3 linked regions of the Pelodiscus sinensis genome follow. The protein of the gene in region 3 purifies or fractionates together with the protein of the main gene of each other region. This does not show direct contact. Links are inferred from orthologs where the notes say so. Each region holds a gene or a part of one and is shown on either strand. Other genes may lie near its edges. The genes, in order: SMARCA5, MYO1C and BAZ1B.

Region 1 (10,036 bases), on a different chromosome or scaffold from region 3:
TGAGGGAAGTGAGGTGTGGAAGAATAAAACTGAGCTCTGGAGAAATGTTTGGCTAGAGTTTCCCCTACAATATGTACCAGTTCTGACTTACATACAAATTTAACTTAAGAACAAACCTACAGTCCCTATCTTGTACGTAACCCGGGGACTGCCTGTATAGTCTAAGTAGGGCTAGAGACTTTGCTGGCTATACTGCCTCTGATCATGTGTAACACTCTTATGCATTAATTCCTCTCTTTTTTTTTTCCTGTTGTTTCATGAATGAACTATATACTGTATATAATTTAAAGTAGCTCTGAATTTTATTTATGAGGAGGAGGGATTTTTTCCGTGGAAAAATCCATTGGCCTGAAATTCAGGAAACCTGGCATCCAACTTACTCAAGCATGTTTTCTTTACTTGAATGGGGAAATTATTTGTAATATTTTCAATTGATGATCGGGTTCTGATTTCTACTATATTGACTGGGGGAAAACATTGAAAGACTTCTATGCACACATTTCAGCTAAGGATTGGTAAACTCAATTCAATTTTCTATGTTGTGCCAGTGGTTGCTCAAAATGGGAATTATCTGTGCTATATTTACACTTGAGAGTGTCTTGTAGAACTATATTCCTGGTCTATATCTCCAGGAATCTTTCCTGGCTTCTCCAAGTAGGCAATAGTTAAAGACTTGGTAAACTTCAGAAAGAGTGCTGTTCATTATGTAGAGCAAAATTTGCCCTGTGTGGAGAGGGCCTACACAAGCTCTATACCCCGTTTTTAAGTCTTCTAGCTAGAATTTCACTTATACTGCATATCCTCAGTAGCATCTTCACTTCTCACACTTGTGATTAATATTCCGCATGTAATGAAATGGGAACAAAAGTGGTGCCTTTTTAAAAATATCTTTCAGAACCCTTAGCTGACTACCATTTATTCTTCTGACAATGCAGTCTCTTCATTACAGATGCCTTCTTATTTTTTGTGTCAGATTGTGATCTTTCTCTGAAACTGTGTATGAGCACTGTCACACCTTCACCTGTCAGCTTTGGCTACACATTTTCAAGTCCCCTGCTTTCACATTCTAATGAACTTAGTACATTATGTTGCTTGTGAAATATTTTCCTGTAGACATAGCACATCTGTCGAGGTCACACTGATTTCCTGAGTCTTTGGACATCATTAAAAATTATTATTAATTGTATTTGAAAATTAAAATCTGTCATATTTGAAAAGCAATGACTTTGAAAATAGGTACTTTTTTACTTCATTTTCCTTCAGAGAGAGCAGAACTCTCATGAACATGTTAAAGAATCACCAAAGCTCTATCACATTATTATTTAAAACAATTGTTAATGTAAAAAGGAGTTAGAACATGTACATGAACCAATAATTTGCATTTTTACAGAAACAAAGGAATTACTGTATTGTGGATAAATATAAAGCTCATATGAAAAATTCAGGTATGTAACCCAAACATAACCTACATATAACTAGGTAATCTTGGAGTCAGTGGAATTAGGTGCCTAGGCAATTTGGAAATCCTACTTGGCATCCATCTAAACCTTTTGGGACATAAATACTTTTTAAAAATCTAGCCCCAGGTTATGATTCAGAAGGAAACTGTTTTGCTTGGTGAAGGTATGAAAACCGAGGAAACTAGATTAAAATGCTATGATGTAGGCCTCAATCCTACAAGTTTATAGGCACAGGCAGATCTGGAGTTCCCCTGAAGTCATTGGTGCTCTGTGTGGATGCAGCAGTCCACCTGCATATATATGAGTGCTCAGAAGCAGGGTACTAGAAGCTTTTTTTCATATGCAACACCTGCTTTTAGTAAAGTCCAATTTAATACCAATTTTATACCCTATTTTCAACCCATAATTGACTTTCACACGGAGGTCAAGTGACTTGCCCAATGTCACACAGTTAAATGATTTTTTTTTTTAGGTGAACCTGATGGCTTCTAGTCTTAGCCAGGAAACAATGTCACTCAAGAACTGATCAGAGAGAAATCAGGCTTCATTCTACAACTAGGATTTTGAGGATAAGATATGTGTTTGCATTGAACCCATATAAATATGCATGGTATATGAGGCTTTTCAGTCACAGAAGTGTGGTAAATAAAAACAAAAAGAAGCATCTTTTTCATTTTGATTTTTGTTCAGCAAGAGACAGCATCAGTTACAGAAACTCATTCTCCAAGGAACTCTAAAAAAAAATAAACTGATGTCCAGATTCTGATACTACATAGGTATATGTTGTTCTTTTACTTCACTTGAAGTTGCATTGAAGTGAAGTTTGACACAGATATGTTGTCAGGTATTATATGGGGTTTTTTTAGGGTCAAGTTTACTAAAGCTGGAATTATCCTACATGTGGTATTTTTTTTAGAGTCTGTATTGCGCAAACAGCCCTACATATGGTCAACTTACAGTTCATTACATTTAGGGTGTGCACTAAAAACATACTTAATGCTATTCATTTTGTATGAAACATTTTGCAAGCACCATTATGCTATAACTTGAATAAATCCAGTATAGTGCTTACTGTACTTAAATTTAGTAGCACATATGAACAATTAAGTATGTATAGTCAATTATGTTTTAACATAGTTCCACTGAATTGTTGAAATGGACATACGATAAGCAGATTTTGTTTTGGTTTTGGGTGAGAGAGAGATGGCGTCACAATTTGGGTTTCAAGCAGTGTTGATATTGTGAAACAGTATCTCAGCTGGCTGGGTGTAACTGAGACACAGTAATACCAATAAATACATGTGCCTTTTCAGCACTGTGATCTGTAGAAATCCTGATCTCCTGAGGATGGAATAAGTATTGTTGGATCATGGAGATAGTGATTTGCATAGTATTAAAACAGGCCCAATCATGTTTGCTCAAGTGTCTTGCTGGGACCAGTGTGCTTGTTTGCTCAAGTGTCTTGCTGGGACCAGTGCTTACTTCAGTGGGGCCAGGATTTATCTAAAAACTTAAAAGAAGGGGTCCTTCCTTTCAAACTTATGAAGGAAGCAGGGACAATGTGTCGGCTCTCCACTAAAGCATGCTAAAGTAAAACTAAGAAAGGGACTTGCTAAGGGAATTTAAATATCGTGAGGAGGGGAGGCTGATATTGACACATAAAGACTATCCCCCTTTTACAGAGTACAGCATTTCTCCCCAGTTATAGACAATCATACCATTTCCATTTTTTTCTCCAAGAACTGGATTTTAAAAGCTGTTAAAAAAACTGGAACACTTTGTAGACCAACTTTAGGGAAAAAAAACAATATTAGAAGATTTGTGATTTATATTATCTGGAAAGAAGGGAAAAACAAAGTATTAAGACAGTAACTGTGATTCCTTTTTATAAAATGGGAGGTCTTATAAACATCCATTGCTATCTTTTTCTACGTTCTTTCTGCCTCACCTTTTACTTGGAGGAGGAGAATAGAAAATATTCTTTGAGATGACTACCATATTCTGTGAAAGTAAACCTACACAAGTTTACTTGACCCAAATATCCACCAGGTTTACCAGTGCTCAGTTTCTTCAAATCAGATAAGATCAGGTGTGTTCAGAGTGATATGGCCATCAAGTTATGCTTTCACTTTTGATCTTTTTTTTTTTATAGCTTATAAACAGTTTTACAGACACTGAACATTAATAATGTTCTTATTCACCTAATAGGATCTTTTAAAGCAGCATATACCGTATGTGTTTTCCTTATTTAAAAAAAAAAATAAAAACAAGTGTTCAATGAAACAGGAAGCATCGCCTGGGAATTTTCACACAAAGAAAAGCTAATTGAACTACTCTTTCCATTCTGCATATTTACAAATGCTGTGTTATTGCTCAGTTCTCTCTGGAAAAATAAATATCTTAATAAATAGAGGCCTGCAAATCTGTGGATATCTGCTTGATATCCACAGGTGTAGCCGCAGCTTGTTTTTGCAGATATGGATGAAAATAAAAATTTAGTTTTCTAGAACCCTGCAAATTTGTGAATATCCACTTTATATCTGTGTCTATCCATCCTCCGCTCATTTTTGCGGATACAGATGTAGATACAAATTTTGTTTCTGCATAGGGCTTTATTGATAAGGTAGGGGTTTTTTTCAATTATTTTGTGCAGGTTTATGTGTTGTCCTATTTTTTTTTGTGTCTGGCTTGTTTCCTGACTTGTGACAACAGTCTCTTAATGCCTCTTCTGCTCTCAATATGAGTTTTCTTTTGGTATTGACATTGCTACTTTGAACTGAATTTTAATTCTCTCATGCATTTCTTTGTTATGGAGATCTTTTCCAGTTTGTTAATCTCTTCCCTTTCCACTTCTTTGCTTGCTTCATTTTTTCATCTTTTACTTTTACTTTTAAAAACCTTATCGGTGTGGTATGTGGCTCCTGGATCCAATGGCTCTTCATTTTCTCCTGTAATTGAAATTCTCTTTCCCTTTCCAACTGTGTTCCTAATATATCTATTTCTAGTGTTAGCATCTCCCTATTCACCTGGCTACATAGGTACCTATGAAAGAAAACAATAGAGTCCATTCCAAGGGCCTGATCGAGCATGGCCTGGGGTCAACAGAGGACTCCCCAGCTGGCCTTGGCTCTGTGCAGTACTTCCCTGGAACCTGCTCGGGGTGTTGGGGCAGTGTCTGGGTGAGCCTGGATTTAGTTGGGTAGTCCCTAGCTGAGCCTGGGCTCCCCTGCCCCTTTGAAAGGCACAGAGGCATTTCAAAGGGGGTAGCTGCTGCACAGCTGATCTGCAGACCAGCGGTGTAGTGGCACCATTGCACAGCTGGGCAGTGCTGTCACTTTGACGTACCCCTTCCTTTCCCCCTTCCCCCTTCGCTACCGCTCCGTTTGCTACCGCTAGCTGACTACTAGGCAAAAGGCTGTCCAATAAATTCTTATGGGGTAGTGGACTAGTCTTTAGCAGCCCGGGCTTGCTCTAGGTAAGGTCGCTAACCACGTGCCTGGCAGCAAAACCGCCCTCAGACCATCAACCACCCGAAGCAAGCGGGAGTGTAAAATTAAATATGTAAAAATCAACGTGTCCCCTGAAGGAGGCGCGCCCGGCACACGGGCCGGGCGGCTGCAGCCTGCTGCTCGCAAGGCCTGGCTGGCGGCACGCGGGCAAGCGAGTGTCCCAAACTGAACCTTCCCAGGTGTGACGCTCGCTTAGGGGCGGGGTTTCCAGTTAGGCTCCGCCTCGCCGTTCCTTGTACCCAGCGCGGGGAAGCGGCGAGAGAATGGGAAGGTAGTGACGCAATAAGTCTGCGGTTATCCCGGCTCAACTCCTCGCGCGAGCGCGGCCCCGCCTCCCTCTGTCGTAGCCGGCTCGCCGCACCTCGTGGGAGCCCAACCAGAGACGTGTTCGTTGCGCAGGCGCATTGGCTCCCTGCTGGAGTTCTTGCGAGAGTTGGAAGCCGGCTCGGTTGGTTCCTGGTTGGTGGGGAGCGCGCTGCGAAAGCCGGGGCGGCAGCAGTGACAGGGAGGGGGGAATCCCCTCGGCGCGGAGTCTGCGAGCGGCGCCCCCCCCCCCTTCTCTAGCCCGTCCCGCCCGCCGCTGCGTGCAGGGGTCGCTTCTTCTCCCCGCCCAACGGGCGCGGCGGGAGCGGGCTCCCGGCCCGGCATTGTCTGCGGGGCGCGCGCGCCGGGATCATGTCCGCCGGGCAGCAGGAGCCGCCGCCGGATGAGACCCTGTCCCCCGCCGGCACCGCCCCCTCCTCCGCAACCACCAGCAACGGCGGCGAGCTCGCGGGGGCGCCGCCTGTCGGCGCGAGTGACGCTGACATGGAGGTGAGGAGACCCCCCCCCCCCCAAACCCCGGGACCGGGCGTGAGCCGGGGGGGCGGGGGACGCTCTGGAGCTGGTGACGATGCTCCGGCCCCTCGCTCTCCGAGGCCCGCTCCGGGTTTTCCTGTCCCGCCCCGAGCGGCTCCCTCGGCACACGTGGGGTTCCTCTGTCCGACTCCCCCCGTTAGGGCCCGGGGTGGGGGGTGAGTTGAGTCTCCCCCCCCCCCCCCCGTCTGTCCGCAGAGCCGCGCAGTAACCGGTGGCCGAGCCCGCCACCACCCGTCGTGCTGTGCCACGAGGGCTGGGGCCGGCAGGCTGCGTGAGCCGCGTGGGGCAGAGACAATAGAGCGGGCGGGCGGATGAGGAGCCTTCAGCGGCGCGTGTGAATGGAGCGGAGCCGAGCTGAGCCGCCTCCCCTGTACAGCGTGTGCGCCTCGTCTCTCTCTCTTTGGTTCATGAATGAATTGGGGGCGGTCAGGAAACGGGAGTCGCGTCTCGTTGTGTCTAGGGGCTGTGGGAGTCTCCGCGATGCTGGGAAGCGGGTAGCAGCTGTTACGTCGGCTTCCCACCCCTTCAGCAGAAAGTAGGTTCTTCTCTCTTTGTCACATACGCACCCTCTTCCCGTTGTTTGTTTTCTGTTCACGGCTCTGCCTGTCACTTCGGTGGGCGCTGTGTACCTCAATATATGCAAACAAGAGGTTCCTTCCCCTTTATGAACGATGTACCACAGACTGCTACGAGAAAAAGAACACAAAGAAACATTGACGGCTGCTCTCTGACTGATAGACAATGAAAACAATCTGAAATTGGATTTTTGAAGGCAAGCTGGAATAGTCACAGGTTTCCCAAATGTGGCCAACTCTCCTTTCTGTGTTCTGTTTTATTCCAGGAGTATCTAGCTAGAAATTTATTTTTCCTTTTTTCCCCCAGGAAGTTCTTTTTGTAGTGCAGCTGTAACTGTTGAATTAATTCTTCTATTCTTTCTAAGTGAGCTTCCCAGCAAAGATTTATGTTTAGCTGTGCTTTCTCTTTAAGTTATGAAAAAAACAGAGTACATCTGGCAACATTTTATAAAGCAGTGGTATCATCTGTTGTTTGAAATGTCTTATTTTGGCAACAGGTGCCTAATTCAGAAATGTCAGGGGGTTAGGAGAACCTGGGATTTGAACTAATGCCTAGAGATGATTGTTTTGTAACAGCATTTGTTTCTTTAGCCATACATGGAAACTAGTTTGTCTGCTTTTTATTGATGAATATTTCATGTTCTGAATCATTCTTTACAACCAACCTACTTAATCTGACTAGTTTGCAAATTCCATTTTCTTAGAGTAGCTCCTTCAGATGAACAAATAACTAAAACATTGTGGGTAATAAATCCTATTTAAAAACATAAAAGCTAAGCTGGAAGCTATTAAACAAGGATTTTTATATGTTTTTTGTCTCTTGTAAAGTTATAGTTCTCAAGAAGAAACCAAACCACTTTCAATGTTTATTTAAAATATTTCTTCATGTAGTTGTATCTCTTTTAAACTGGATTGGAAAGTTTCCTTATGAAGATTTATAAGTGCTTTGCCTCCTTCCTCTGGAATATTGCTTTACATTGATTCAGAAGGAAAGATTGTTAGCTATTGTTACCAGATTTGGTCCTTTCCTTCCTCCCTCCTCTCCCCCCCCCCCCCCTCCCGAGATGGCTTACTTAACTAGCCAAGACCCAGCCATAACCCAACCCCCCTTCCTCCTTTCTGTATGAAGAGCTATTAGGATCTTGTCTGCACTGGCTTTTTTTAAAATCTCCTACTATTAAACTACTATTGCTACGTCTCAGAGGGATAGCCATCATAAAGTTAGGAATAAAGACACTACCTGGCTAGCATACTACCTTCCATGTTCTAATGACTTAAAAAAACCAAACAATGGGTACTTAAGATCAATTTCCTCCTTCCCTATCAGCTTCATGTAATGTGTACACTCTAATACTACTTTCCCTCTTTTTCACTTCCTTCTCTGCCCCTCCCCCCATTTATTTTGGAACTGGACCTTTAATAACTATTCATCTGAAGAAGTGGCTTGTGCACATGACAGCTCATGATGCCATCTACATGTTTTGTTGGTCTTTAAGGTGCTTCTAGACTATTTGTTGTTTTTTAAGTTTTTCCAGAGATAGTCGTTAGTCTGTATCTGCCAAAATAGTGAGGAGTCCTGTTGCACCTTTACTTGCATTTGATTAAATGGATTTTTGCCCACAAAGACTTATGCCCAAACAAATTCTTTATGGTGCCACATGATTTCTCATTGTTTTTACTACTATAGATTTAACTCTTCTGTTAGTAATAATGGTGAGAAAGCTAATGTAGGTTAGCTGTTGGTGTTCTTAAGATTAGTGGATATATGGTGATAAAAATTTTGGTGGACAGGCAATGTTGCTGACCAGTAGTAGGAAACCTAGTTTAAGGGAAAATGCTAATATAGATACATCTTATGAAGGTATGAAGAGCAATGACACTTTGTTCTTTGGATAGAAACTATAGCTTCCATATTGAGAGAGACATACCATAATTAGGTATTGAAATTAGGAAATCTTCATTTGAGAATTTTTGTTCATACAGTTCCTTCTTCTATAAATGAGGCTCAACATCATAGAGTGAAACAAATGTTACACTTTTCAAAAGAGGAAGAAAGAACAGCTGATGAGTTTACAAAGAAGATCAAGAATGATTTGAGTTCATATTTAGTTGAAGTGTTCAATGGTGTCTTGACTATTTTATGTATGCCTAGTTTCAAAATCTTACCGAAATGTTAAAGTGGAAAATGCTTGTGTTAAATTCAGTCTACAGTTGTTGCCCATTGTCTTTTGAAGTTGTACAACTTAGGGATATTAAAGACTAATTGATCTCCCTCCTGTCCCCCCTGCTGCCTCTGTTAAATAGAGGCAGCAAAGGGAGGTGGGGGGTGGAAAGCGGCACTTGAAAGCGGCAGCACCGCACAGCTGAGCCCAAGATCAGCTGTGTGGCGCTGCTGTTTTGAAATGCCAAGGCTCCTCAGCTGACCGCAGGTTCCTTGGAAATGCTGCACTGGAGCACAGGATCAGCTGGGGAGTCCCCAGATGACACCAGGCTCCATGTGCGCAGCGGCTGCACAGCTGATCCCTGGCTCAGCTGTGTGGCACTGCACATGGAGCCCGGGGTCAGCTGGGGACTCCCCAGTTGATCCTGTGCTCCAGTGCAGCATTTCCGTAGAACCTGGAATCAGCTGGGGACTCCCTAGCTGACTCTGGCTCCATGTTGTGCTGCCTCTGTGAAATGCACAAGAGCCCCCGCTAGGTACTCTTGTACATTTCAAAGCTGACACCTTGTGCAGCCCGGAGTCTGCAGGACTTCTTGCTGGCCCCGGGCTGCATGCGGAAGTGCCTATTGAGTAGTTGATGGAAATTCTTAATCTGACTAGTCTGAAATTCCATCAACTACTCAATTAGTCAGTGAACTGCTAGTTAACACCCTTAGTGTAACTATCACTTTAGGGTGTATCGATTCATGTGTGTAACTTGTCAGCAGTGTATGTCTCTTATTCAGGGGTCACAGCCGTTCTGCTTGTCTCTAAGCATGAAGCAGGAGAGGGTTTCCAGTTAGATCCTGGCTAGAAGAGTAGGACGGTCTGTTGTTGAGCTGATACCTGAGTGCAATGATTTTTCCAGTTCTTTTCTTTTGGATCTTTTCTTTTTTGACTGACAAACTAAAATTCTGTTTTTACTTACTCATATCTCTTTTTGATGGGCCTTAGCTTGGCATAGTATTTATTATGTCTCCTTTTATGTCTATGTTCTTTATTTCCCTTCATTTGCTTTGTGTGGGTTCCAGCCTGATTTGTTTTAATATCACTTGTCCATTCCCCACTGCACACTAGGGACTGAGGTGAGATAAATAACTTCCAGTGTAGGCCATCTATTCTTAACAGATGGTGAAGGGTAATTTCTCCAGATAGCTCATTCTCTTCCCTAAACTCCTGAAGAACCTATGTAAAATACTCCTTCAGAACAATTGTATAAGGGTTGATCATACCAGTAGTATTTCTGCTTCCAGTAGAGATGACAGTTGTTCCTAGTACCTGAAGCACAGTGAAACTTGTAAATTGTTAATAAAGATGCACTCTTCTGGTGTCATGTCATATGTCACGATTTTGAAGCAGAATACTTTTTTGGAAGAAGGGAGAAGAGAGTTTTATTATTTCCCTATCTGAAAAGATAGTCAAAGAAAATACCTC
Region 2 (11,036 bases), about 15 Mb from region 3:
TGGATTTAAGCTTTGGAAATAGCAGCAGGTAGAATGCTCTGGTTAACTTGTTAGAGCTTTGGACTAAAGAGCATCTTTGAGGTTTCTAGTTCCCATAGTGTCAGATTTACATTGTCAGGTATCTGAACTTAATGCTTTGGCACTGGGAACTGTTCAGTTGCCAACACAAATGTGGGGTCAGAAAATACTCTGAATCAGCACAAGAAGTAATACAGCTCTAAGTCTTGAAACATAATATTGTTAATAGTCTGAAATAACATGAGATTACATTGTATCCATTGTCATATTTGTACCATTGGTGTGTAAAATTTGCTTTACACTAAAAGAACTTTTGTAGTTTTCATTTTCAGTGGAAATGTAACAAATGCCCCTACTTCATCAAAAAACTTAACTAGTTTTTAAGCTCTTCTTTCTGAATTTGAAATTGCTTATATAAATCTGTTTTCAGCTTCCCATTAAGAGATTCATGGGGAAAATATAAAAGACTAGAAGACTCAGTTCTTCAAATTCTCGACCGCAGCTAGTGACTGTAGGGGACCAAAATCCAATTTCTGCTGAACAGGAGACACATTCTATTTGTGGGCATCTTTGCAAGTATTTCAGGAGCTGAACACTGAGCAGGGAAGTTTATATGGCTCCCCATATCCCTGCTCCTTAACATCACATGAGGACTACCCTTTGGTTAGTTATTGGAGTTGGAAGGTGCTCTTTATAAAATGGTTAGTGTCAGAGGACTCTAGAGTAAACAGTTAAAAGAATCAAATTACATTTTCAAAGTTCTTGGTTCAGGCTTGTAGTTACCAATCTGTCATAGCTCCTCAAGTCAGTCTGGTGATCAGTTAGATTGAACACGAGTGAAGAGCTGGGTTCTGTTGGTCATGATCCAAAGCTGAGGCAGGACTGAATCCAGTGTGCTATGGCAAAAGCACCCCAATTTTATACAGGTTGGACCTCCCTGGTCTGGCACACTTGGGACCTGCACAAGGGAGTTTGCCAGACCTGTGGAAGTCAGGGCTCTACTAGAAGGGCACCCGCCTCCGCAACCAGCTCCTCTCATAGCTGTTGGCTTTGGCTCTGCTGTGCTTCCAGGCCCTGGTGGCTGCCAGCGAGGCTCTACTTCCTGCCTTCAGGGCTACTGGCCTCGGATATTGCCGGACCAGAGATGTTCAACCTGTACTTGTAAGATCCCTTTGGAGTCTATGTGTTTTACACTGTCATGCTGCAGTCCTTGATGTGTGAATCTTGGGGTTTTCCTGCAGTTATAGTCGGGCTTCCCATTGCTATCTCTTAATTGTATTCTCACCTTTGGGAGTGTCTACCTGTCTTCAAGGCTTGTCTGTGCTGCTAATTTGTTCAGCCTTGGGCACAATGGATGTTCTGTGATCATCTCCAAGAGTCTCATGTCGCCTTGAGGATCTGCACATCCGTGATGGCTTTCACACATGTTCTTCACTCACACCAAACAATTTTACAGACAATTTCAGACAAAGGATTGCAACTTAGCTCCTTGCCCAAAGCGCTTTGCGATGGTTCCCTCTTACTTGTTAAACACTTGAAATGTTGACTCCAGCTATGTTGCTTGGCATGTTCTTTTTAAAAATGCTTAAGTCAGTTAGGTAGTTGAATTAATTTTAAAATAAATTTATTCTAATGTTAATTCAAGAAAACTGTTTAATTTTGTGATTTAAGACAATGGGCCTCAACCCAAGATAGAGGTCTTCCAGGGGATACATCAGTTCTTCTAGATACTTGCTCAGTTTACCACAGGCTACATAGAAAGCACTAGCAAAGTCAGTACCAACTAAGATGTCATACAATGATTTGTTTATACTGCTCTATATACTATACACTGAAGTGTAAGGAGAGTATTTATATTTTAATTGAGTTGTAATAATATGGTAGAAATGAGAAAGTAAGCAATTGGTCAATACCAATGTGCTGTGACACACTTTTTCTGTCTCATTTTGTAAGCAAGTAGCTTTTAAGTGAGGTGAAACGGGATGTGCAAGACAAATCAGACTCCTGAAAGGGGTCCAGTAGTCTGGAGAGGTTGATTTAAAAGGTAAGAATGTTTTGTCCTCTCCCTGCAAAGAAGCTGTTGCTTCTAGACGTATTTTAAACAAAATTTATGTATTGCATGTTAAAATGCAAATTGTCACTTACTACTTCTGTCTATAATGATGGCAACTCTTCATGGTTCAGCATTGTCAGAGTACTTTTTTTGTTTTCTATTAAACTAGGAAGGATGTTTGCCAAGGAACTTTAGGAAGCTTATCCTCATTTAGTATCCATGTAGGAAATTTCTAATTCTCAGCTGACAAAAGGATAAACAATGTATCTCTGGACATAGGTAGTACAGCTGCATGTAAACAGGAAATATTTCTGAGATGTATTGTGTGTTTTTATGCCCTAAAAATACACTCTGATAAGGACTATTGTGTGCAGCACCACTACTTCCTTCTCTGCTCATTCAGCATTGACACTCGGATGAACCTGTCCTTAACTCATATGCTGCAGTGGAAGGGCCAGTTCAAGAAAGCTTGAATTATGTTTTCCTTGAGTTAGAAATTAGCCTGTGGTGGTTTTGTGGTTTCTTTTTTGGTGGGGGACGGAGGGGGGGGGACAGAACTGCATGACTACCAGGAATATTTTAGTTCTACCCTGGTGATGGCAGATTTTCTACCTAAATGTGACTATAATGAGCCAATTGTTTTCAGAACAATGTATGTGAAGGTCACAGACAAACTCATCACTGAGCGATTACATTGTTTTTAGCGGGTTGTAGCTCATGCTCTGAGTGTGAACATAGAGTAAGTACTTCATGTTCTTTATTGTGATTCCTCAGTTTCTCATTCTCTCCAGATATCTGTCTTGGAGAAGAATGCTGTCTATTGTGTTCTGTGGACAGCAGGATTTAAAAGAAGTAGAGTCTAGTTATTTAGATACAGTTCATCTCTCTCCCTCCACATTCTTGGATCTTGCCATTTTAGGAAGAGGTCCAAACCATGGAAGATAGAATATAGTACAGAATACTGGAGAGTTGTCCCCACTCGTTCAGTGGCTGCTTTGGGCAACAGTGATTGGGCAAGAAAATGGCAAATGAAATTTCATGTGGCTAAGTGTAAAGTAATGCACATTGGGAAAAATAACCCCAACTATACGTACAGTATGATGCGGGCTAATTTGGCTACGACAAACCAGGAAAGAGATCTTGGAGTTATCGTGGACAGTTCTCTGAAAACTTCCACACAGTGTGCAGCGGCGGTCAAAAAGGCAAATAGGATGCTAGGAATTATTAGGAAAGGGATAGAAAAGAAGACCCAGAATATCTTACTGCCCCTGTATAAAACTATGGTACGCCCACATCTTGAATACTGTGTACAGATGTGGTCTCCTCACCTCAAAAAAGATATTTTGGCCTTGGAAAGGGTTCAGAAAAGGGCAACTAAAATGATTAGGGGTTTGAAACAGGTCCCATATGAGGAGAGGTTAAAGCGACTGGGACTTTTCAGTTTAGAAAAGAGGAGACTGAGGGGGATATGATAGAGGTCTATAAAATCATGAGTGGTGTGGAGAGGGCCGATAAAGAAAAGTTATTTATTAGTTCCCTAAATAGAAGAACTAGAGGACACCAAATGAAATTAATGGGGAGCAGGTTTAAAACTAATAAAAGAAAGTTCTTCTTCACACAGCGTGTAGTCAACCTGTGGAACTCCTTGCCAGAGGAGGCTGTGAAGGCTAGGACTGTAATAGAGTTTAAAGAGAAGCTAGATAATTTCATGGAGGTTAGGTCCATAAAAGGCTATTAGTCAGGGGATAAAATGGTGTCCTTGGCCTCTGTTTGTCAGAGGCTGGAGAGGGATGGCAGGAGACAAATCGCTTGATCATTGTCTTCGGTCCACCCTCTCTGGGGCACCTGGTGCTGGCCACTGTCGGCAGACAGGATACTGGGCTAGATGGACCTTTGGTCTGACCCAATACGGCCGTTCTTATGTTCTTATGCTTTGTCCAGCCAAAGGCTTAGGATATCAAACCTGTCAACACAGGTGTTGTTTAATGACAGTGGAAGCTACAGGTTGAACCCCTCTAGTCCAACACTCTGGTCCAGCACCATCCTTGGTCCGGCATGATTTCGTTTAGCCGGGTGGGTGTGGCCAAGTTTCCTGCGATCCCATAAAGTTTGTTTACGGCCACCAGTCCTGGCTTTCGGTGCTCTGTGCTGTTGTTTAGCTCAAATTCACCCCTAAATGTCTTCTCAGAGCTCAGTAAGCAGTGGGAGTGTTGTAATTCTGCTGGACAAAAGTGACTTCCCGTGGTCTGGCAAATTCACTGGTTTGGCACCGGTCAGGTCCCAATGGTGCTGGACTAGGGAGGTTTAACTATTAGTTTGACAGAGAAAACTCTACGTTTGTTTGCCCAGATGCTTCTGTTATAATGAATGTAAACGGAGGGTTTTTTTAAACAGAGTCCTGCCTTTTTTCCCATGCAAGGACTATTACAGCTCAATGCCAGGACAATATATATAGTGAAACCAGATGAAAAAGCAGGAAAATCTGGTTTAGGGAGACCTGGCTGCTCTCTCCTGCTTGTGTGCCACAGCAGGAAAACGTTGAAGTCAGAAAGGAAATCTCAGACATGGAAAGATAAACTGGGGAGAGAAGCAAAGGGGGAAGGAAACAGAGTGAGATGCCAGAAGAAGAAAAATAAGTCACAAGGAAATTTCAGGAAGAAAAAGACATCACAAGAATAAAAAAATAAGAAAATGTTATTTGTCAGCCCTTCCTCTGACCAGGAATTGACTGTATCTGGTTATTTTTGATTGATTACACTCTCTCTGTCTCTCTGCTCAGAAGCTTCTCTCTCACCAATGGAAGTTGGTCCAATGAAAGATCTTACCTCACCCACCTTGACTCTTTAATATCCTGGGACCTGCATGGCTACAACTGTGCATGCATCTGACTAGATCAATCACACACAAGTAGTGATGGAAATTTCAGTGTAGCAAACAGTTGTTTTTGGCTTCTTTAATTCATGGCCACCCCCTTCTCCTCTGCTTTGTCATTTTGCCTTTTTATGAGTCTCTCCTCTTTTCTTTTTGTATTTCCTTATTCTCTGTATTCTTCTAGCTTTTTCACTTTCTTTTCTATTTGTCCGTTTTTGTTTGCTACTGAGATCCAGAAGTTTTATGCATGTCATTGAAATTATTCCTCTGAAGATCTGAGAAACAAATGTTTCACATGCAAAGATATGAATTCTTAAGTACCAAAGATAGTAAGGATTGATTAGATACTGCTTTACAATTGTGGGAACAGGACAGTTCCTAGCTGGAGCAATAATGAAGCAATGATGTTTTATCCTAGGAAATAGCTCTGGAAAAGGAACCAATAATTTCTATCCTTTGAAACAACCTTGAAAGAATGAAAAATTTATGATCAGGGAAATGGCCCATTCACATGTTCTCAGTAGCAAGCCTCCTCATCTGGAGTTAGCTTCCATTGGAAACAAGTGTATGGGCTGAAATGTGGCTGCTGAGAGTGGATATATCTACCTATCAACAGCGGGTTTTGAAATATCTGGCATTTTGTCAATTGCTTGGTATTGTTTCTTAGGTCTGTCCAGGATATTAGTTTAGGAGTTTGAGGGTGGGGATCATTTGCAGTGTTTCTAAACATCTGCCAAATCCAGAGTAAAGTGCAGCTGTGTAGTAACTTTTCTTTATTGACTGTTGGCGTGTTTGATGTTTGTCAGAACTGGTTAACTAGGAAGAAAGTAATTACAATTTAGTTCTATAGTAATTTGAAGGTCTTGCTGGAATTTCACTGGAAAAAGTTGGTATTTTCTTTTGCACCATCTCTTTAAATCCAACATCTTGCAGCCTAACACAGTGAATTTTTCCAGCACAAAATCTCAGGGTAGACCTTTCGAAGACTACTGCATATTATTTTTGTGTCCAAAACTGTCAAATTCCAGCCATAGCAACCTGACATTACTTAAATCCTCTGGGTCTGAAATGGAACTTCTGGAGTTAACAGCAACAAGCGAGGACATAAATTAACGATTCCTGGAACTGTCTTGGCACATTGTAACAATACAGAGTTTAGTGGAAACTAGTGCTTGAACTTAATTGTAGTTTTAGCTCACACCTACATTTAGTGTAAATACAAGGATTCAGCTCTTCCGCTCACAGTAGGACTTCTGAACCAAAGAACCTACTCAGTCTGTGGTTTCAGGGACTACTGTTGCTGTCCTTGATGTCAGCACCTTCTCTAAAGGACAGAGAAATCAATTAGCTTAGTTCTGGAAAGATGGAACTGCAAATTGAGTACATTCCCACAGGAGAAATCATCCGTGTGGTCAGTCACAATGGAGCGTGCAAGACTGTAAGCCCGGTTTCTTATTGTTCTCTTTTCAGTTCTTGCTTTGAAGTTAGTTAATTTCAAATAGTTACCTTTGTTTAAGTTCAGGAGAAAATGTAATGTGAGAAGGCTAATGCAAACATGTCTTTTAAATAGAAATTTTTAAACTCAGCAGTAGTATACTTCACCTCAGGGAAAAGAAGAGTCAGTAACTGGGAATTAAGCAAATGGCAAAAGTGTTCAAAACAATTTGTGTGTACACACCACACTTGGCATGATTTGTAATTGGAATAGTGTTATAGCCCAGGAGCACTTGGTGCGTCAGAATCTGGGAGAGGACTTCTTGGGTAACTGAGGGGCGAAAAAACAGTTTTAAAACACTATCCAGCCTCTTAGATAACAATGATTACTCCGGTGGCACCTTAGAAACTGAGAAAAATATATATAGTAATATCATGAGCTTTCGTGGGCAAAACCCACTTCTTCAGAGGAGCTTGAGTGGAGGAAAAAAACCCTCTTAGATCTTCATTGCCCATCTTGCCAATGGGTTCATATTTCAGAAACTGAATGCAAAGCTTAATAAATATTAATAGTGGAAAATAAAAGCAGAGCAATGTATCAAGAAAAATAAGGTGAACTTTGTCAGCATCTTGGAGAGCTGGGTATCTGATCTCATTACTGTGAACTGTGTGTGTATATTCATGACTAATGGAGAGTCAGTGTTGGGTGGGTTTTTACTTATAGCTCATCACACAAGTATTGTTAAATGCTTCTGTGTGCACCACTGTGGATTTGTTTTTAAAAATCTAGAAAATATATCGTCTCTCTTTTTTTTAGGCTTCCACATGAACAGAACATTTGTGTTCTGTTTAGACTGTATTCAAAATATTCAGTTTTCCAATATCTGTGTAAATTTCATGGAAAGGACCTAAAATTAAAATGGGCAGCTCAGAAAGGTAAACTCTTCCAGCATATTTTTATCTGGGTTTTTGAAGGTCAAGTAACAAATCATTGTTTGTTTTTTTACTGTCAAAGTATGCCCTCAGTTAGGATGTTGCCGTTGTCAGGTTAGCTGGATTAAGAATATGGTGCGACTAGTTAGAGGGTCTTTCTTTTTAAGTGATAAACCTCACTTCTAAAAGAAATCGACTTTTCACTCCTTCAGATTTCTGGTTTTGTTTTTTTGTACATCCTAGAGCTACTCAGGACACGATCGTAAACTATTTGAATTCTTTCTAAAGTGATTTAAGCCAAATCATTCGTACCTAAATGTAGTTACGTACATATGCCCCTGTCTATTTAGGTGCTAATATAGCTCCCATTACCATAATCTAGGAGGCTTCTGGGAATAAATACATTAAAGAATTCAGCAGCCCTGTGAGGTAGGGAAATACTGTTCTCCCCACAAAACAGAAAAGGAATTGAAACACAAAAGAGGCTACATGACATGCCCAAGGTCACATATGAAGGTTTTGGTGGAGCAGAGAACTGAACTGATGTCTCCTATAATCCCAGGCTAATGCCCCAACAACTGACTGGATCATCCTTTTAGTCTTCATGCTGGTCTGTATATAGTAATATGCAAAAATAACTTTCCGTTTCTCTACATGTATTAGTCAAATCTTACTCTATCCAACCCTGGATTCCATCTATAATTTTTCTGCTGGTGTTGCATTTATTAAATATCTGTGCAATACTGATTGCAGAAGTGCTTTGTGCTAAGCAATGGCATGCTGAAGCAAGCATAATCTGTTACTCCAATTGCCTTTCACTACCATTTTACTAAGCAATTTAAAATTTCCATATGAAACCTGGAGAGCTTAACTGCATTACAAGTTGCACAAACGTTCATTAAGTAAAACTTCCTTGCCCCTATAATAAATTCTCAGTTGCCAAATGATCGTCTTTCCCATCCTCCTTTTAACTGGCCTGGAAATTGCATTACCACCAATGTGGCAGCACAGGTCATTGGTTGGACCCAAACGATCTCTCCCAAAGGAGCTGTTGACTCAAACCTTGAATGATGGGTACCTGCATCTTGGGAGAGGGTAAAAAGAAAAGCTGTTCAGCTATTTTTTAAAAGTTTAAAATATTCATTAAAATGGCATAAAACAATAATTTGCTAACTTGAGAACAGCTCCTGTTATGGGGCAACATTTGTGGCAACTGTAAAACGACAAGTGTGTAAAGGGGATGCTGTGAGCGGATACGCTATTTTCTACAAAACCAAGACTTGTTAATGTGACTGCTCAACTGTAGCAGCAATAAAATGGTTTTCTCAATGTTTAGCTACGCTATTGCACCATGAAATCATAGGACTGGAAGAGACCTCAAGAGGTCATCTAGTTCAGGCCCCTGCACTCATGGCAAGACCAAGTATTTAGCAAATGATGCCAGCTGCCAGAGGTGACAGGGCTACAGTTTCTTATAGCCTTTTCATAGGCCTGCAGTCAGTTCTGCCTCCTTGCCTTTCCTCTGCTACTTTTACATGGAGAAAGTGAAGCTGAACTAGAGTTAACTCATTCTTGCTAGTGACCAGGTTGGGCCTTTACACCTTGTCTCATAATCCGATGTCTGATTGGTTGATGTAAAATTGATTCGTCAATGTCATTCTTGCTGACAATTGCAGTAGTGAGGCGAAAGAGTCAGTGGTTATGGTGACTGAACTTGCTTCTCAGAAAGAGGTGGTGGTCCTTCCATAATGAGGATGAGGCCTGTTGGCAGAAGTATGGCTCAACTTGGACCAGCACTGTACTGGTTCTGTGCTTAGTGTCTACATTTGTCTAACACTTTCACCATAACAAAATATACATAAGCATTTAAAGTAAAAAGACTTGCAAAAGAAAACACCAATATGGTAGAAGTGGGGTAGGTCTGACGTGTAAACAAAGCAGATAATTTAAATACCTAGTTTTGTTGTCATGGTTTTTTAATCTACGTTATTTTGTTTGCCTTAAATTCTTTTAATTGGAGATGATCTGAAGGCTGGCGAAGGAAGACATGATTTCTGTTTTATGGAGAACACACTTCGAGGGTATTCAGCATTTGACAGCATCCTGGAAAATCTGGTCGTCTTCTAAAAAACAGGAATTGAGAGAATCATGAAGACTTTGTTGTTTGGGGTGTCAGTCTGCCTTCATTAAGGACTCTTATTGTTATCTGTTCTTCTTATTTGGGAATACAGAGTTAGATGTTATGGGCAACGTTCTGATTCTGTGGAAAGATAAGAGGGATTTAGTGTGCAAGGAGGAATATGTCCTTAGTCATTAAGTAATAGAAAGGTATCCAGGGTGTCCCTGCTATAAGTTGTCTTGGTATATATCTGTTCTGCACTGAAGTTGTTGGCACTTGTAGGAACCGATATATTATAAGTCCTCCCATTCCCCACTTTTAAGTTGTGCAAAAAAAACCCAGTTTGCACAAATGGAAGTCAACCGTGGGAAAAAAATTCCCCCCTTTAAGTTGTTTCCCTATAAGTCCAAATTTTTTTGAATGTATCCTGGATTTACAGTGAGGACGGCCTGTTTACTAATCCATTTATTTGTCATTGTTCTTTCTCTTCATCTTATAAAACAAGATTTGCGACAACACATTTATAGCCCCATCTACCACGAAACAAAAGCAAAAAAGATTCCCACTCACAAGCTGTCTTTCCCTTTGGCCATTCAGAAAGCAAACTGAAATCACAAGAATTAGATTTATGTGTAGAACATAGGGTCCTGTCCCAGGAGTAGGGATCCTAGATGCTAGGATAATATAAATATAAATAATGTATTAGGGAGTGGGAGTAGAATGAATACAACAAATACAATTATTAGCATGTTATTTCTTGCTTCTTGTCTTATATCCCTTCATTCCCCATCCCTCCATAGAAGGGGAAATGGCAAGTAAAGTGGACTGTCCTTGAATGGTAGCCTCAAGATATGCAATTAAAATCAACCGGGAGGAGAATCTCATAGGACAAATCTGAAATGAACAAAAAGGGATGAGATGAAAACTGGGGAGTCAAACACAGAAATTGTCATTATTTGACCCTACAGCATGGCAATTTTGTGTGTCAAATACTGAGAGAGACTCGTTTTTAAAAACACATGGAATTCTAGTTTAAGACTTGTCTTTCAGGGGTGGAACCAGATCTTCATTATACATCATAAACAATTCCTACTAATTCCAAGGAAGAAATATAGATAGATTCTTTAGTACTAAAGCTAAAGCCTTTAGATTAGGATTAGGGATCCTAAATTGGAAAGATTTTAAGTGGCAAAAGAAATAGTTCTGTTACAAAATAGTTCAGGTCTTGGCAGGTAAATTTTTATCTAACTTTCAACCTATGGTTTGTTTACCGTTTTTAGAAGAGAATGTCTGTGTACCTGTTTTTAAAAGCGCCGACTTCCAAACAAGGTGCCACTTCTGTTCGAGGGAAGGGTTTAAATCTGCATGATGTGCTCAACTAGTTGATGCTGCTACCAGCATTTGGTATTGTGAGGTCAGGCCTTTCAGAGCTTAATGCTATTTTTGACAAAGGGTGGGATTCAGTGATGTTGTCTCTGACGTGATACAGCACAGTGCTGTCTGTCTCTCACCAAACTTTCTGTGCTCTTCTTCGGGCTACTCGGATTCATGGAATACCTTCCCTGCATTGATTCATAAACTGAAACCCTTTCCTTTTATATACTCTTT
Region 3 (10,456 bases):
TTATGTAAATAATACCTAATAATAATTGCCAAATGAGAACACTTCCCAACCTGCTTACAAAGGGCCTGATCCAATTTAAATTTTAAGCTAGGATTGGGCCCAAAGTAAGATGATACATCCTGCCTTTCTGTGGATGCACCAAGTGTTTTTAAGTGGCATCTTAACATGCTGTTTAAATCTTCAACTACTTGGATGAGGAAGACTCACAAAGAGTCTGTCCATCAACCACACCACAGTGACAGTGATTTCACTGCTATGGTAACAGACCTGATCTCTCTGTAGGCTCTTGTGTAGCAGCAAGGAGCCTGTGGGGGTCTCTTGGTGGGAGAAGCCAGTGGTTCTTATGGACTTTTTGGTCCGTGGACCATTTGGCTAAGTGTAAACCTTTCCATGGACCACCAGTTGCTAATGGAGAACTCTATAATAATGGGAGATTTTAATTATCCCCATATTGACTGGATACATGTCACCTCCGGAAGAGAAGCAGAGATAAAATTTCTCAATGGCTTCAATGACTGCTTCTTGGAGCAGCTGGTACAGGAACCCACAAGGGAAGGGGCAATTCTTGATTTAGTCCTGAGTGGAGCACAGGATCAAGTCCAGGAGATAACCGTTACAGCATCGCTTGGGAACAGTGACCATAATATAACAACATTTAGCATTCCTGTGGTGGGAAGAACACCTCAGCAGTCCAGCACTCTGGCATTTAATTTCAAAAAGGGGAATTACACAAAAATGATGAGGTTAGTTAAACGGAAATTAAAAGGCACAGTGACTAGAGCCAGATCCCTGCAAGCTGCATGGAAACTTTTTAAAGACACCATAATAGAGGCCCAACTTAAGTGTATACCCCAAATTAAAAAACATAGCAAGAGACCTAAAAAAGAGTCACCATGGCTTAACCACCATGTAAAAGAACCAGTGAGGGACAAAAAGGCACCTTTTAAGAAGTGGAAGTCCAATCCTAGTGAGATAAATAGAAAGGAACATAAACACTGTCAAATCAAGTGTAAAAATGTAATAAGAAAAGCAAAAAAAGATTTTGAGGAACAGCTAGCCAAAAACTGAAAAAGAAATAACAAAATGTTTTTAAGTACATTAGAAGCAGGAAGCCTGCTAAAAAACCTGCGGGTCCCCATAAAGATCGAGATATAAAAGGAGCAATCAAGGACGATAAAGCCATTGCAGATAAACTAAATAATTTCTTTGCTTCAGTCTTCAGGGCTGAGGACATTAGGGAGATTCCCAAATCTGCACCGTCCTTTGTGGGTGATGAATCTGAGGAACTGACCTGGATTGAAGTGCCATTAGAGGAGGTTTTGGAACTAATAGGAAAACTTAATGTTAACAAATCTCCAGGACCGGATGGCATTCATCCAACGGTTCTAAAAGAACTCAAATTGGAAATTGCTGAACTATTATCTGTGGTTTGTCACCTATCCTTTAAATCGGCTTCCGTACCTAATGACTGGAAGGTAGACAATGTGACACTAATATTTAAAAAGGGCTCTAGAGGCGATCCTGGTAATTACAGACCGGTAAGTCTAACTTCAGTACCAGGCAAAGTAATCGAAACAATAATAAAGAATAAAATTGTGAGGCATGTAGAAGAACATAATTTGTTGGACAAAAGTTAACATGGTTTCTGTAAAGGGAAATCATGTCTTACTAATCTAGTAGAGTTTTGTGAAGGGGTTAACAAACATGCAGACAGGAGGGATCCAGTAGATATAGTATACTTAGATTTTCAGAAAGCCTTTGACAAGGTCCCTCACCAAAGGCTCTTGTGTAAATTACATGGCCATGGGATAAGAGGGAAGGTCCTTTCTTGGATTGAGAACTATGGTTAAAAGACAGGAAACAAAGGGTAGGACTAAATGGTAAATTTTCAGATTGGAGAGGGGTAACTAGTGGTGTACCCCAAGGGTCAGTCCTGGGACCAATCCTTTTCAACTTATTCATAAATGATCTGGAGAAAGGGGTAAGCAGTGAGGTGGTAAAGTTTGCAGATGATACCAAACTGTTTAGGATAGTCAAGACAGAAGCAGACTGTGAGGGACTCCAAAAAGATCTCACCAAACTGAGTGATTGGGCAACAAAATGGCAAATGAAATCTAATGTGGATAAGTGTAAAGTAATGCACATCGGGAAAAATAACCCCAACTATATGTACAGTATGATGGGGGCTAATTTGGCTATGACAGATCAGGAAAGAGATGTTGGAATTATCATGGATAGTTCTCTGAAAGCTTCTACACAGTGTGCAGCGGCGGTCAAAAAGGCAAATAGGATGCTAGGAATGATTAAGAAAGGGATAGAAAATAAGACCCAGAATATCTTACTGCCCCTGTATAAAACTATGGTACGCCCACATCTTGAATACTGTGTACAGATGTGGTCCCCTCACCTCAAAAAAGATATTTTGGCCTGGAAAGGGTTCAGAAAAGAGCAGCTAAAATGATTAGAGGTTTGGAATAGGTCCCATATGAGGAGAGGTGAAACCACTGGGACTTTTCAGTATAGAAAAGAGGAGACTGAGGGGGGATATGATAGAGGTCTATAAAATCATGAGTGGTGTGGAGAGGGCAGATAAAGAAAAGTTATTTATTAGTTCCCATAATAGAAGAATCGGAGCACACCAAATAAAATTAATGGGCAGCAGGTTTAAAACTAATAAAAGAAAGTTCTTCTTCACACAGCATGTAGTCAACCTGTGGAACTCCTAGCTGTGAAGGGTAGGACTATAACAGAGTTTAAAGAGACGCTAGATAATTTCATGGAGGTTAGGTCCATAAAAGGTTATTAGCCAGGGGATAGAAACGGTGTCCCTGGCCTAAGGATGGCAGGAGACAAACAGCTTGATCATTGTCTTCGGTCCACCTTCTCTGGGGCACCTGGTGCTGGCCACTGTCGGCAGACAGGATACTGGGCTAGATGGACCTTAGGTCTGACCCAGTACGGCCGTTCTTATGTTCTTATGGAATCTCACCGTTAATTACATAATTATGCCTGAGCCATTTTGCTAGTGTTGCCGCTAGGGAGAATGGTTTAATTTAAATGATTAAACAGATTAAGAGTTTTAACTTTCTCATATTAGTTTATCAGACTTCATTTTAAATAAAGTAAAATATTCATTTGTGTTCAACACAAAGGCTACGTCTACACTGGCCCCTCTTCCGGAAGGGGCATGTAAATTTCACTAGTCGTCGTAGGGAAATCCGCGGGGGATTTAAATATCCCCCGCGGCATTTAAATAAAAATGTCCGCCGCTTTTTTCCGGCTTTTAAAAAAGCCGGAAAAGAGCGTCTAGACTGGCCCCGATCCTCCGGAAAAAGTGCCCTTTTCCGGAGGCTCTTATTCTTACTTTGAAGTAAGAATAAGAGCCTCCGGAAAAGGGCACTTTTTCCGGAGGATCGGGGCCAGTCTAGACGCTCTTTTCCGGCTTTTTTAAAAGCCGGAAAAAAGCGGCGGACATTTTTATTTAAATGCCGCGGGGGATATTTAAATCCCCCGCGGATTTCCCTACGACGACTAGTGAAATTTACATGCCCCTTCCGGAAGAGGGGCCAGTGTAGACGTAGCCAAAAGGGTTTCAATGTTTTCTTTATTTATGGCAGGGCTGGGGAGACGTTTTTGGGCCGGGGACCACTGGCACAGAGAAAAATCAGTTAGTGACCACACAAGTGAGAAACAAAAAAATTCCTCCCCAAACCCCCAACCCTCACTGAGGTGGCTCCCAACTCAGACACCTCACTGCTCTGGCTCTCCATGGGGTGAGGGGAAGAGGCAGGGAGGACTGAGGTTTAGTGCTTCCTAACGGCCCCATTTGCTTTTTTGTTGAATTTTATGGACTCCCTTTAAGTTCTGAGGTGAGGACAAAAATGAGGGGTACAGTGTGTGGTACAAGGCTGCCAGTGAGTGGGATAGGAATGGGGTGCAGGATCTGGGAGCGAAGTGGAGCACAGAAGGGGAAAAGGTTGCAAGGTCTGGGTGGGAGGTAAGGTGCAGATGCAGGGTTGGAGTAGGGTGTCTGACCAGAAGGAGGGAGCAGTAGCAAGGGAGGGTGCAGTGTGTGGTCAGGAGGGAGGGTGCAGGAGCAAAGGTAGATGCAGGAGCAGGGTGATGATAGGTGTCTGGCCAAGGAGGGGGATGCAGGACTGGACAGGGGGCAGGGTGTCTGGCCATAAGCAAGGGTGCAGGAGTAGACTGGGGGGTAGGGATCGGATCTCCATGGTCCAGCACCTTTGGAACCTGACTGGTCCCAGAAGAGGGATTTTTCCGGACCAGGGCAGGTCATTTCAGGACCTCTGCTGCTGCTGCTCCCGCATTGAACTTCCTGGCACCACCTCCCCACAGCCCAGCTGAGCCCTGCATTGGTTCCCTGTACCCCCTCGCACAGCCGAGTTGAACCCCGCACCAGTTCCCTCTGCCCCACCCTGCAGCCCAGTTGAGTGCCTCCCCCCGTCCTCACAGCCTAGCTGAGCCCTGCACTGGTTCCCTGTGCCATCCTCTCACAGTGAAGCTGAGCTGCTCATCTGTTCCCTGCACCTTCCCACATCCCCTGCAGCCCAGCTGAGCCCCGTGCCTGGGTGCCTGACACCCTCCCCACTCCCACAGCCCAGCTGAGCCCTGCACCAGTTCCCAGCACCTCCCTTCACAGCCCAGCTGAGCCCCGCACCCGGGTTCCTGGTGCCTCTCTCCCCTGCAGCCCAGCTGAGCCCTTTGCTGCTTCCCTGCACCCTCCTTCCCACTGCAAATCACTTGCTTTCCCACACTCCCAGGCTGGGTCTACATTGGTGTGATCTTGTGCAAAAGCAGCTGCTTTTGCGCCAAAACTTGCTCCCTGACTACACTGACTGCGAGTTCTTGCGCAAGAACACTGACATTCTAATGTATGAAATCAGGGCTTCTTGCGCAAGAACTCTGACGCTCCCGCTCAGGAATAAGCCCTTTTGCACAACTGTTCTTGCGCAAGAGGCCAGTGTAGACAGGTAACATGAATTTCTTGCGCAAAAAAGCCCTATTGTTAAAATGGCCATCAGAGCTTTCTTGTGCAAGAGAGCGTCCACACTGGCACGGATGCTCTTGCGCAAAGGCACATGCCAGTGTAGACGCTCCCTTCTGGAAGAGTTTTTGCACAAGAACTTTTATGCAAAAGAGTTCTTGTGCACAGGGCTGGCCCGAACCCTTTTGGTGCCCTGGGCCCTGGTGTGCGGTGCCACCCCCGGGCGCAGGGTGCATGCGCAGGCCCGCCCATGGAAAAGCGTCCGTGCCAATCTAGACGCTCTTTTCCGCAAATGCTTTTAACGAAAAACTTTTCCGTTAAAAGTATTTGTGGAAAATCAAGCCAGTCTAGACGTAGACTCTGTTTCTGAGATAGGAGACAAGCATTAATCCAGTCATCATTTGAAACAACGGAATGGTTTATGTGCCTGTGCAAGTGGAGAAAACATTGTCCTTTGCCTTCCAAGTAAGGCTATGTACACAGTAATACTTTTGTTGGTCAGAAGTGTGAAAACCAGCCCCACGGTTCCATGAGTTTCAGACAAAAGCACTAGTGTGCGCACATCTGTCAGCCTACGATGGGTTTCCAGTCAGCAGAGCTCCCGTCGCTCGCTGGAGATGGTTCAATCCTGCGGACACGAGAACTCCCTCCCCTTGTCACTGTAGGTGTAGACGCAGCCTGAACCAGATCATGGCAGAGGCGCGAGCTGGAGGGGGCAGAAGCTCTCTGCAGCCCCCGGCGAGACACGAGTCTCCCGAATCCTCCGGCTGCTGCTTGGAAACCATGAGCCAGCGGGGCGCAGGGGACTGGCGAGGGACAGGCTGGCCCGGGTCCGAGGTGGGGCCCATTTCAGCCGCCAGGCCGGCGCTACCCTTTTAAGAGGGGGGGGAATGCGGGCATCATTCGAGGAGACAAAGCCGGGCGCGCGGCCTCTCCGTAATACCCGGATGATTTAGAGGGGGCGTGCTCCCATTGGCTAGTGCGAGAACAAGGCGGGGCAAATAACGGGGGCCACAAAATGGAGTCGCGCTCCCCTCCGCTTACATAAGGTGACCTTTCACCCTGCGCGCTCTGCAGCCTAACTTGTCCGTCAGGTGGGTGGAGCTAGATGACTAGACAGGCGTGCCATGTATCCACTAGGGTGCCCCGACTTAGACCGCGACCAATCCAACTATGCCGTAGGCGGGAAGGGCCGGCCTGGCGGTACTAACAGGTTAGGGTGCGCGCTCAGCGCTTCTGCCGGCCGCCCGCTCGGCAGAGGGGGAGGGGAATCTCCCGCCATTTTTCAATCCTCCCGCCCGGGTCCCACCGCCGCCGGGGCCGTTGTGGGGAGTTTCCAGGCCCGGCCGGGGCCGCTCCGCTCCCCGTCATGGCGCCGCTACTGGGCCGCAAGCCCTTCCCGCTGGCTAAGCCGCTGCCGCCTGGGGAGGCGGGCGAGAGGTTCATCGTTCCTCACACGCAGGAGGCCTTCCGCACCCGCGAGTATCCGCCGGCCCGCGGGCCCGAGGGGGTGTCGGCTGCCCCGAGTGCTAGCCGCGTCCGCGTGTCTCCGCGCCCCTGAGCTGCTGTAGCGCCCGCCCCTGCCCCTGGGCTCGCTGCGCCGGTGCAGCGGCTCCGAGACCCGGCGCTGGCCCTGTCCGTGGAGCCCGCGCGTTTGGCACATCGGGCGGCGAGAGCAGCGCTGGCTCGGGGCTCGGGAGGGGGGGCTCTGCCTCCGGAATTGATCGCATCGCAGGTTCATGCCGCCTGGCTGCGTCGCCCTTCGGTCCAGCCTCGCACCGACCCAATTTCTGTTTGTTCTAGTCCCGTTCAGGTTCCCGTGCTGCTTTCCAGGAGACGGCTACTCCCAACACGTGTGTGTGCGCGCTTTGTAATGTCACTTGCCATAGTCCATAGGCTGTGCAATGGTGTGTCAGGAAACAGGGCTTCAGGCTCCAAAAACTGATCAGATAACGGACTGTTTCAGGTTCTTACGGTTAGTCTGAAATGCAGAGGATTGAGAGAAGCTATTTGTGTCCCAGGATATTTTTGTAAAATTAGATATGTATTTTATGATTCTTAACTTTGTAAAATGAAAGGATGGGGGGGGAGGGGGGAGGAGAAAATCCCAGTGTAAGGGTTTATTTGACAAAGGATAAGATTTTAAAAAGAATATCTAGCATATATGCTTGCTGCATAAACATTTGAAATGGTTAAGAAGACTAGTCTTGCCCAAGCTTAGGCCCTAAGATGTTGCATGTTATGTTTGTGAATAGCTGTGTCAGTGATAACCTGCATTGTGGGAAATTGCAATTACAACTCTTCATGAGCACAGACAACCATTAGACTTAACCCATTTTAATCCTTGACTATTTGTTCTCCTTGCACATAAGGGGCGATCTACACTTAAAATGCTACATTGGTGCTTTAAATAAAAATGCTCCTAAACTGATGGGAGAGATTCTTCCATTAGCATAGTTAATCTGCCTCCATGAGCACCAGTAGCTATGTTGACAGGGGAAGCTCTTCCACTGACATAACATCTGCCCCAGGAGTTAGGTTGGTATAACTATGTTGCTTAGGTGGTGTGGATTTTTCACACCTTAAGCAAAGTTGTTGTATCCGTATAGGCCTGGCTGAAGTGTGGGATCAGAGCTAGAGTAGAAGGTTGGTCCCTGCTTGACATCTATATCCTAAGGTAAGACATGGCAAAATAGAGTATAGCAAGAGAATGGGGCAGACAATAAGAACACATAAGGCTGGGTCTGTATGCAGATATTAGGATTTGGGTGTCATAGTATAAGTATTAATGAGATTAAAAACAGAAGCCTCAACTGGCCCTATGTAATAGTTGTCAGTAGGCTTCATTTTACTCTAATAATTGGAGCAGAAATGGGTCTTGGGGAGGGACTTAAAGGACAGACTTAGTTAGAAAATGTGTTTCTTGCATAAGTGGTGTTGTGGAAAGTACAGCTGTTGTGGGAGAAATTGAGAAACATACAACATGTTGCTTGTCTGCAGTGGATTCTTTCTCTGTACAGTTTCAAGCCTTCTGGGATCCTTCTGTATAAAAAATAGGATACAAGTTCAAAGTGTAATAATCATTCTTCACCACTTCTTGGAGGGAGGAAGAGTGGGAAGTGAGTGGTAGGCACATGAAATCTCCATCATAGGAGATGAACCAGCAGCTCTGTGTGGAGGACTTGCATATCTATGTAGACAGGTGTATTTTTTATTTTTAAATAGGCTTTAACTATATACTACTGTCCCTGGAGACTGATCTTTCCTCTGTACAACAATGGGCTGGAAACTGCAAGGAGAACTTAAATTGTGGAGGAAATGTATAAAGATCTAGAGTGCACTTGAGAGATTTTTGGCAGCATGTGAGACAAAGGGGCTCTAGAACTTGCATTAGAAAGTTTCTATTACTTTGCTGTGAATTGCAGCCATGTTATACGGAGAGGAAGGATTCTGTAGTCTTTGAGAGGGAAGTATAAGTCTGAGATTGAGACAAGTATTACTAATACACTGAGTATAATGAAATGATGTTATAGAGTCTTACTTAACTCAAAGCATTAATTTAAAATAATTTAAAACTGACTAATCTACAGTTCATGTGGCTAATCTTAGATGTTCAGAAGCTGCAGGGGGTAGCTGAGTTAGTCTGTACAGGATAAACTTAAAAAACAACAAATGGTCTGGTAGCACTTTATAGACTAACAAAACATGTAGATGTTATGGTATATGACCTTGAAAGGAGCTCAAAAGCCATAAGAATAGAGCTTGGAGGCTTTAATGAAGATTACAATTTCAATATTGATTTTTATATCACTGATTTTAATAATTTTTTTAAATCAGCAAGTAGTAGACCTTGATTTAAACCACTACATTTTAATTGTTTTGCATTTGTACTTGTTTTCCTAAAGAAAAGTTGCTTTTAGTTGATTACTATGCAAACATTGATTTGCAATTAAATATGGTCTTTGCACTAAATTTCCTCCTTCCGTTTTGCGAGGAGGCTATACCAAATCTATACTAAATACACATTTATTTAAGCAGTTCTATAGCATAATGTGCATGTATTCAGATATTTGGCATTTTAAAAAAGTGTAAAAATAAAGTAACAAACATCAACAATATTTAAAACGTAAAGGCTTTTTACATTTAAAAAAATTACATTAAATATGTTGGATACATAGAAATTTTTCAACATGTTTTAAATTCAAAACTGATTTATTAAGCAAAGGAGATATTTGCAGTTAATAAACTAAACTTAGTTTCTTGTCAGCATGCCCTTCAGTTTTTAGAACTAGTAGATCTCACTCTTACACTTAGTTTTCATTCCTGTTTGGGAAGTGTGCTAATTCAGCTTCCTATTGATTTTTAATTTTTATTGAACTAATTGAATAAATTGCAGTGAAGAAAATATTCTCTGCACCTGCAGAACTAGCTCCTACTATCAAAAGCTGGCTTAGCACTTGGAAAAAACTCTGGTTCCGGGTGCTTAGCCAATGGCTTCCACCACTGATTTGACTTTAAGTTGTTGAAAGTAAATATTAGTATATGTGTATTTAATTTAAATTATTTTAGTGTTATATTTACACCTGTACATTGGTTGTCATAATTTCAGATCAGTCTAATTAAAAAAAAGCCTGTGGTAAATTTAAATACCAAAATGTCTGTTTTAAATACAATTTTTAATCGTATTTTTATCCACTTGGCTGATTAATTAGTGAGTAAGAGGATGTAAGGTGTATGCAAGTTTTTGAAAGGTAGAATTGCCAAGGAAAAAGAGAAATTGTTTAGTGTCAGTGTTATATGGCTTATTAATTGAATAACTCGGAGACTCTTGAGACAAAATACTTCATGTAATTTATTAATTTTAACCCTGCAATCTGCTGAATATATATATATCCTATTTTTGTGCATGTTTCATACTTGTATGTGAAGTTGGAAATATGAAGGGTGGCTCTTTTCATAATTCTAAATGTGTTAATGAAGGTCATTACTGATGCTCTGGAAACTTAATGTGTTGGGCTTTGTTTTCATGGTAAGTTCTTCCGGCAGAAAATATGCTAATGAGGGACTCATGCTCTTCTAAGCATAAGTCATGATCTCCTTAGCATATTTTCTGCTGTTTCTTTTTGCACAAGGAGTTTTTGCGCAAAAAGAAGCAGTGTGGATGGTGGGTTTTTTTTGTGTGCTCAAAACGGGGGTTTTCCGCAAAAAAAAAAAACCCCAACACGCTGCTTCTTTTTGTGCAAAAACTCCTTGTGCTAAAAGAAACAGCAGATAATATGCTAATAAGATTGTGACTTATGCTAATGAGTCCCTCATTAGCATATTTTCTGCTGGAAGAATTTGCAGTGAAGATGCAGCCTTGGTGATCAAGCAAATGACCTATGAATGTTTTGTTCTTTGTGAAAGTCCAAACTGTAGTTGGTGGTCTTTTACATCTGCACTTGAAAGGGA

What was found.
Region 1: the proteins of BAZ1B (region 3) and SMARCA5 purify together in Homo sapiens (affinity purification with western blotting; 11 studies listed by BioGRID and IntAct, with this or other methods). This does not show direct contact. The link is inferred for Pelodiscus sinensis from reciprocal best matches to the Homo sapiens genes BAZ1B and SMARCA5.
Region 2: the proteins of BAZ1B (region 3) and MYO1C purify together in Homo sapiens (affinity purification with western blotting; 3 studies listed by BioGRID, with this or other methods). This does not show direct contact. The link is inferred for Pelodiscus sinensis from reciprocal best matches to the Homo sapiens genes BAZ1B and MYO1C.

The regions. Positions count from the first base shown.
Region 1 is NC_134715.1:41,840,711-41,850,746, reverse strand, and holds the start of SMARCA5 (SWI/SNF-related matrix-associated actin-dependent regulator of chromatin subfamily A member 5), read left to right. Parts: upstream 1-5,374; 5' UTR 5,375-5,644; coding exon 5,645-5,782; intron 5,783-6,193; exon of another isoform or gene 6,194-6,362; intron 6,363-10,036. UniProt on the Homo sapiens protein: ATPase that possesses intrinsic ATP-dependent nucleosome-remodeling activity.
Region 2 is NC_134731.1:1,247,767-1,258,802, forward strand, and holds the start of MYO1C (unconventional myosin-Ic), read left to right. Parts: upstream 1-6,178; 5' UTR 6,179-6,305; coding exon 6,306-6,380; intron 6,381-11,036.
Region 3 is NC_134731.1:16,474,799-16,485,254, forward strand, and holds the start of BAZ1B (tyrosine-protein kinase BAZ1B), read left to right. Parts: upstream 1-5,773; 5' UTR 5,774-6,374; coding exon 6,375-6,487; intron 6,488-10,456. UniProt on the Homo sapiens protein: Atypical tyrosine-protein kinase that plays a central role in chromatin remodeling and acts as a transcription regulator. Involved in DNA damage response by phosphorylating 'Tyr-142' of histone H2AX (H2AXY142ph).